Linked DNA regions of Macaca mulatta. The protein of the gene in region 1 binds, or shares a complex with, the protein of each later gene. Links are inferred from orthologs where the notes say so. Each region holds a gene or a part of one and is shown on either strand. Other genes may lie near its edges.

Evidence for each region.
Region 2: the proteins of POR (region 1) and HMOX1 are in contact, whole or in part, in a crystal structure (PDB 3WKT), measured with the Rattus norvegicus proteins. The link is inferred for Macaca mulatta from reciprocal best matches to the Homo sapiens genes POR and HMOX1. Residues at the interface, in NP_113764.1 of Rattus norvegicus: Thr88, Thr177, Asp208, Asp209, Arg313, Arg514, Lys515, Gln517, Arg519, Leu520, Phe522, Lys523, His626, Lys665, Met667, Thr668, Lys669, Gly670, Tyr672; in NP_036712.1 of Rattus norvegicus: Asp12, Ser14, Glu15, Gln38, Ala75, Pro76, Glu81, Lys149, Ile150, Lys153, Ser171, Asp173, Asn174, Thr176, Lys177, Phe178, Lys179, Gln180, Leu181, Arg183, Ala184, Arg185, Asn187, Thr188.

The regions. Positions count from the first base shown.
Region 1 is NC_133408.1:50,268,569-50,272,218, forward strand, and holds part of POR (NADPH--cytochrome P450 reductase), read right to left. Parts: intron 3,225-3,650; coding exon 3,100-3,224; intron 2,781-3,099; coding exon 2,691-2,780; intron 2,088-2,690; coding exon 1,989-2,087; intron 724-1,988; coding exon 607-723; intron 507-606; coding exon 388-506; intron 1-387. UniProt on the Homo sapiens protein: This enzyme is required for electron transfer from NADP to cytochrome P450 in microsomes. It can also provide electron transfer to heme oxygenase and cytochrome B5.
Region 2 is NC_133415.1:16,160,590-16,164,832, forward strand, and holds the start of HMOX1 (heme oxygenase 1), read right to left. Parts: upstream 2,825-4,243; 5' UTR 2,743-2,824; coding exon 2,720-2,742; intron 1,821-2,719; exon of another isoform or gene 1,531-1,820; intron 811-1,530; exon of another isoform or gene 611-810; intron 308-610; exon of another isoform or gene 42-307; coding exon 1-41.

The DNA.
Region 1 (3,650 bases):
CCTTGGCACCACGGAGCACCCTTGGGGACCTGGGAGGGCTGCTGACTCCTGACTTCGGTGAGGAGGTGGGAGCAGCCCCAGGACCTTCCTTCCCAGCAGACACAGTGGCCATGGGGGAGCCGGGGCTGCCTCTGCCTCCAGGCCCCAGCACCTCACTCCCTTAAAGGCTATGACAGTGACAGGGTAGGGGGAACCCCAAGAGAGGGCCTGACCTACGGCCACTCTGCCTCCCATTTGCTTGGGATCCTGTAACCGTGGAGTCTCGGTGCAAGGGCCGCCCAGGTACCCGGGCTTCAGGCCTAAGGAGAAGCTCAACCCAGGGCCTTCCTACAGGCCGAATCCTGCAGCTGCCTGGACCATGCAGGGCGCCCTGACTGTGGCACTCACCATCCAGGTTGTTCAGGGACATGACGACATCCAGGTCGGCACCCAGGATTTTGCCCAGCTGATTGACGAGGGCAGAGTCGTTGGCCGGGTACACAGCCACGTGGTCCCCAGATTCATACCTGGAGGGAGATGCCAGGCTCGGGAGGGCAGAAGGCCGGCCCTGCCCCGGGTCAGGAGGCCCAGAGTAAGGGTTCAGGGGGTGACGGCGGCAGCTGGTACCTGATTTTGGAGTCCGAGATGTCTAATTCCAGGTGCATGAGGTGGCGCTCGGTCCCCTGGTTCAGCTTCCGGTTGGTGGTGACTGCAGCCAGGAATGGATTCTTGGCATCAAAGGGGCTGGGTGGGGAGGAGAGAAGCGCAGTGAGCTGCCAGGGCTTGGATCTGAGTCTCTGTCCACAAGGACCCTTCTGGTTGCACAAAGCACAGGGAATCTCAAGAGATCACGAGGAAATCTCACCGGTTACATCAAGGGCTCTCCCAGCCCGATCCAATGCAGTTCTCTTTCTTTTTGAGACTGAGTCTCGCTCTGTCGCCCAGGCTGGAGTGCAGTGGCATAATCTCGGCTCACTGCAACCTCCACCTCCCAGGTTCAAGTGATTCTCCTGCCTAAGCCTCCTGAGCAGCTGGAATTACAGGCGTGCGCCACCACGCCTGGCTAATTTTTATATTTTTACTAGAGACGGGGTTTCACCATGTTGGCCAGGCTGGTATCGAGCTCTTGACCTCAAGTAACCCGCCTCGGCCTCCTAAAGTGCTGGGATTACATGTGTGAGCCACCTCGCCTGGCCCCAATACAGTTCTCTCTACAGTCCCACCACGTGGGCAGAGCTGGGTCATCAGTGTCTCCGTTTCCAAATGTGGAAGCTGAGGCTGGCCCTTAAAAGAACTGTGAGACCCAAGCTGACGGTGCCACAGGCTGGAAGGTGGCTGGGTCTCCAAATGAGGGGCACAGCTTCCCCACCCCCACATGTCCTGGACTACACCGTGGACGAGACAGAAATCTGCACTCCAGAAAGCCACTGAAATGCGGGGCTTCTTGCTCCAGCCAGGCTGGGGCAGGCCTACAGAAAGCAGGGCAGCTGGTATTGGATGCAGTGGCACGGACTTCCCTGGGTGGCTCAGGCAGGAATCTGGCCAGCACCCAGGGGTCATCAAGGGCACAGAGGAACGCTAGGTTTTCCCCAAGTCTATCTATGGAGACAGATTCTAAGAAAATGAGCCCAGCTGCCAAAGAGGATCGTAGCCACAGAGCCCAGTGCGCTGTGTCCTTGTTGAGAAGTGGGACGCGCCCTGCGGCCCTGGGCAGTGTAGAGTAAGGTGGCTAAGTGAGCTCAGTACAAACTGGGCGAGTGCCAGTCTTCCGGGGCCGGGCCCTGGACAGGCACTGCGTCAGGGCATGGAGCAGCTGCCTGGCTCTCGGGCAGTTCCCCTCTCTGCTCTGGGCCTCATGCCCTCCCTGTGTAGGGACACTCACACCCACTCGTGGCACGGGGTCTGGTGAGAAGGGCCCTGCGGGGATATGAGGATACACGGCAGACTGAGTCTGGGATGCACCAGCGGCCATAGAGCCGTCTGCCCCAAGCCACATTCCCTCCACTCACGGCTTCTGGTTCTCGTAGCTCTTCAGCCGGCCCATCTCCCCCACGTACACCTTGGCCGCGTCTACGTCAGTGTGGACCACAAGCTCGTACTGGCGAATGCTGGAAGGGGAAGACCGAGGGTGAGGCCGGGAAGCAGCAGGGGTCAGTCCTGAGAGGGAGGGGCTGGACTACAGGGGAGGTGGCGCGTGGCCTTCGGGGCAAGGGCCCAGGTACATACGACAGGAGGCGGGGGAGCCCCTGCTGCAGATGCGCAAGAAGGGCAGGCGAGGGAGCAAGGAGGGAGGTGGCATGGAGCTGCCGGGGGTCAGGCGCCCAGAAGCCGGGGCAGGGCTGGGCAGGCTTCTGGGAGATTCTGGGAGAAAGTAAGGAAAGCCTGGGCAGCACCCAGGGGCCATCGAGGGCACAGAGAGGAACGCTGTTTTTGGCCAAGTCTATGGAGACAGATTTTAAGGAAATGAACCCCTCTGCCAAAGTTGAACCTAGCCTCAGAGCCCGACGCACTGTGTCCTTGTCGACAGGTGGGGTGCGCCCCGCTGCCCCGGGGCAGTGCAGAGCAAGGTGGCAGAGTGAGTCCTTGGCTGGGACCAAGGTCCCTCCTCGACCTCGCTGTGACCCACTGCCAGCCCCCATTCCAGGGTGGCCACCCTCGGCACAGGACCAGCCCAGCCCACCCACCGGTGGCACCTGCGGGCCCTCGCTCACCTGGACTCCTCGCCAGTGGCTTCCACCCCAAAGTGCTCGCACACGGCCGGCCAGAACTGCTCTCGCCAGGTGATGAAGTCCTCCTCCAAGCTGGGCCGAGGAGAGGAGGGGGGAACGGCTCAGGGCAGGCCGATGTGGCAACAATACCTGGTGCCGGGCACGCCCCGTCCCCAAAGCTCAGGACTGGGCACCAGTGACATCAACCCAGAGCATCAGGAAGGCTCCAGGGAGTCGGACAAGCCGAAAAGCAACACCGGCAGGGGCAGGGCAGAGGCGGGAGAGCCCCTTCCCTGTGTGGGAGGTGCGTGTCGCTGAGTCTCAGCTGACACAAGGGTGTGCGTGCCCCTCACGTTCCACGGCCCTTGCCGAGGCCCACAGCGCTGATCAGGGTGGCAGGGTGGGCACTCACTTCCCATCGTCGTCGCCCAAGCCCAGCTCAAAGATGCGCTGGGCGCCGAGCTGCTCCAGCCGCTTGTCCACGTACTTGCCCATGGCATTGAAGTGCTCGTAGGTTTTGTTCCCAAGACCAAACACCTGTGTGGACACAGGGGCCGCTCTGAGGCCTGGCCCTCGGCCTGACCAGCGGGAGGTGCCATGGGGGCGGGGTGGGAGGCCCCACAGCGCTGGCTGAGCTGCTGGGAACACCTGCAGGCCTCCATCCCATCAGGCGCCTTGCACTGCGAGGAACACTGGGCCACTGAAGAGGCTTCGTGTGGGTGACCTGCAGCCCACAGCCTGCCCAGTCCACCGCCAGCCTCAACCTATGGGGAAGTGGAAGCAGCCCACCCTCCCCACTGGCTGGGACTCCAGCTCCCCTAGCCCAGCCAAGTCTCAGTCGTCCGGCCAGAACCCTCTTGCCTTTAGTCTCCAGCACCCAATGTCCCCTGGAGCTGAGGACAGGGAGGGGACACTCTCATAGTGCTGGGGTCCAGGGCAGAGGAGAGGGTCTCACGAGTGGCC
Region 2 (4,243 bases), on another chromosome or scaffold:
TGGTGGCCTCCTTCAGGGCCTCTGACAAATCCTGGGGCATGCTGAGGAGGAAATGGGATAGGTGAACACAAAGCTGGCTGGGGGTGGGGTCCTCCCCAACTGCAGGAGCCACCCACCTGTAAGCAGGCCTCCAAGGACTCCCATTCTTATTCAGGCCACATTCCCAATCGCTTTAAGATGCAGCCTTGTGGCTGGGTGCAGTGGCTCACGCCTGTAATCCCAGCACTTTGGGAGGCCAAGGTGGGCGGATCACCTGAGGTCAGGAGTTCGAGACTAGCCTGGCAAACATGGTGAAACCCCATCTCTACTAAAAATACAAAATTAGCCGGGCATGGTGGCGGATGCCTGTAATCCCAGCGATTATGCCTATAACTGCTTGAACCCCGGAGGCAAATGTTGCAGTGAGCTGAGATCACACCACTGCACTCCAGCCTTGGTGACAGAGAAACTCCATCTTAAAAAAAAAAAGAAAAAAAGAAAGGGCCAAGCGTGGTGGCTCACACCTGTAATCCTAGCAGTTTGGGAAGCCAAGGCGGGCAGATCACCTGAGGTCAGGAGTTTGAGCCCAGCCTGGCCAACATTGGTGAAACCCTATCTCTACTAAAAATACAAAAAAAAAAAAAAAAAAAAAAAAATTAGCCGGGTGTGGTGGTGGGCGCCTGTAATCCCAACTACTCAAGAGGCTGAGGCAGGAGAATAGCTTGAACCCAGGAAGTGGAGGTTGCAGTGAGCCGAGATCACGCCACTGCACTCCAGCCTGGGCAACAGAGCAAGACTCCATCTCAAAAAAAAAAAAAAAGCAAAAAAAAAAACCCAGAATCAACAACAACAAAAAAACAAATTCAGGCTGGGCATGGTGACTCTTGCAGCCTTGTAAACACTCTTCAGTCATTAAAACACTAACTAGGCCAGGCGCGGGCGCGGTGGCTCAAGCCTGTAATCCCAGCACTTTGGGAGGCCGAGATGGGCGGACCACGAGGTCAGGAGATTGAGACCATCCTGGCTAACGTGGTGAAACCCCGTCTCTACTAAAAAATACAAAAAACTAGCCGGGCGAGGTGGCGGGCGCCTGTAGTCCCAGCTACTCGGGAGGCTGAGGCGGGAGAATGGCGTGAACCGTGGAGGTGGAGCTGGCAGTGAGCTGAGATCCGGCCACTGCACTCCAGCCTGGGTGACAGAGCGAGACTCCGTCTCAAAAAAAAATAAAATAAAAATAAAACACTGAATAATACAGTCCCCCAAACCAAGGGGGAAATCCTGGTACCGGTAGTTCCCAGTGGAGAGGAGGAGGAGGTACAGCATAACCCAGGAAAAAGCAGAGGCCCCATGAACGCGCATCTCAAAGTTTGTAATTGCTTTGATTGGCTTTTAGACCCAATATTTAATTCAGTTATTTTGTTAAAGTTTCAGATGCAAATCTCATGACCCCCCTATCATGTTATGCTCATCATGAAGACGTCAGGGTTAAAAATTCTGAAAAATTCTGCTTTAGTTAAAGAAAAAGTCTCGGCAGGGCGCAGTGGCTCAAGCCTGTAATCCCAGCACTTTGGGAGGCCGAGACGGGTGGATCACGAGGTCAGGAGATCGAGACCATCCTGGCTAACACGGTGAAACCCCGTCTCTACTAAAAAATACAAAAAAAACTAGCCGGGTGAGTTGGCGGGCGCCTGTAATCCCAGCTACTCAGGAGGCTGAGGCAGGAGAAAGGCGTAAACCTGGGAGGCGGAGCTTGCAGTGAACTGAGATCTGGCCACTGCACTCCAGCCCGGGCGACAGAGCAAGACTCCGTCTCAAAAAAAAAAAAAAGAAAGAAAGAAAAAGTCTCTCCGGGAGTATTTCTGTCATGGGTCCGTATCCCTGCGTCCCCATAGAACTGTCATTTTTCCCTTTCCTCCCGCCCTGCTTCCCGGAACATCATCCCCTGTTCTACAACACAGCTGATCAAATTCTTGGGAGAAGCGGCACACGCCTGTAAGTCCCAGTTAACTCTGGGGGCTGAGGTGGGAGGATGCTTGAGCCCAGGAGTTAAAAAAAAAAAAAAAAAAAAAAAAAAAAAAAAAACCTAAGAAATTCTTGAAAGAAGGGAACGAGCGAGACCTGGAGGTGGGCAGGCCAAGGTTCAACACCCAGTTCTGACACCTGCTGACTGAGTACTCTAGGGTATGTCGCCTGCCTGAACTGGGCAATCCTTATTTGTGAGACGCGGAACACCGTAGCCAGGGTGATGTCTGGCTCAGGTCCTCCGTAGCTAGTGAGGGACAGATGCCACCAAGAGAACCAAGCATGCTCTCCCAGGCTAGCGGAGCCCCAGGGATCTAGATTCAGCAGACAGCAGCTCCAAGCACACCTCAAAAGTTGGATTAAAACAAAATTGACTCCCTCACAGGGAAGCCCCAGAGATCTAGATTCAGCAGAGAGCAACTCCAAACACACCTCGAAAGTTGGATTTAACAAACATTGGCTACCTCAAAGGCTGGATACTCTAGGGACACTCCCATCTTGGTCCCCAACCGCATACCAGGGTGCCAGGCATGTAAATCACCGTTCCTCCCTCCAGCCACCCTACGGGCACAGGCAGGATCAGAACCCCGCGCCTCCTGACTCCAGGGCCCAAGTTTCTGGCTCCCGGGCTCTGTCGCTGCGTGGCAGTGTCCCGGGTGGGACTGGGACGCCAGCTGGGAGGGGAGGGAAAGGCGCCCGTCCCGCGCCCCGCGCTTGCCTGTCGGGTTGCAGACGCTCCATCCGGCCGGTGCTGGGCTCGTTCGTGCTGGCTCCGCGGGCGGCGGCTGCTCTGAGGACGCTCGAGAGGAGGCAGGCGTTGACTGTGCCGGAGCCGCGACCGGTCACATTTATGCTCGGCGGGTCACGTGGGCCAGGCGGAACAGCTGAGGCCCACTTTCTGGCCGGGCGTTGCAACACCCGCAGGGGCCCGCGCCCAGCCCGCCCCGGGCCAGTGTGGGGTGGAGAGGAGCAGTCATATGACCCTGGGGAAACAAAGTCTGGCCATAGACTTTTAGAAAAAAAAAAACACACACACACACACACCTTAAGGAAATCTGAGAAGCTGCAGCCTCTGGGTGTGATTTTGCTCCTTCCAGAGCCCCCCCTTCTGCTCCCTGTCCCCTTGGGACTTGATGCACCCCAGGCGTCCCAGAAGGTTCCAGAAAGCTGGGAGGCAGCGCTGCTCAGAGCAAGAGGCTGGTGGGTAACATCAGGAACTTAGCAACCCCAGACCCTGCTGTCTCCAGCTCCCTAAAATGCCACCTTCTGGAGTCCTCTGCTGACTGCTTGCCTCCTCACACCCCCTTTAAATGTACATTTAGGATCTGGTTTTTTAGTTCCTGTCAAAAAACAGAGACTCCAGTATTTTCATGGTTCATCCCTACAACTGACCTGTGGGGGTAGATCGCTCCCATTTTGCAGCTGGAGAAACTGAGGCTCAGAGGGGTGCAGTGGTGTCACACATAAAGCAGGAAGCCAGTGTCCAAACCCAGGGAGGAGACTAAGTCCCCGCCTGCCTCCTCCACACTCCGGCAGCACCTGGTGCCCGCCTGGACTGGGACACCTGTCATACAAACTGCTTCCCTGCTGGGATGCGTGGGACACTCTTCCAGGCACATTCAGGTCTGACTTATACTCAGTGCCTGCTCAGGGCCCAGAGCAGAGCTGGCCCTTGCTGATCGCCTATTGAATCAATTCTTCATGAGGTGGACTGCTGAGAACTTGGGGAAAAGAGGGTCATTGGGTGAACCCAGAGGACAAAACAAATGGACCAGATGATTCATAGATTTCATAGAGTCATTTCCTAATGCTATGATTCTCATTCTAATGTTTTTTTGTTTTTTATAAGATGGCTTTCAGGCCTGGCATGGTAGCTCACACCTGTAGTCCCAGCACTTTGGGAGGTTGAGGTGGGAAGATTGCTTTGAGCCCAGTTGAGGTGGGAAGATTGTTTTGAGTTCGAGACTGGCCTGGGCAACATAGGGAGACCCTGTCTCTATAAAATAGAAAATAAATTAGCTGGGCATGCTGGCACATGCCTGTGGTCCCAGCTACTTGAAAGGCTGAGGCTGGAGGTTCGCTTGAGCCTGGGATGTAGAGGCTGGAGTGAGCTGTGATCACGCTACTGTATTCTAACCTGGGCAATAGAACAAGACACTGTCTCTCAAAAAAAAAAACAAAAAACAACAACAACAAAAAACAACTTCCTGGAATTCAAGGTAGGGCCACTACAGCCCAGAGG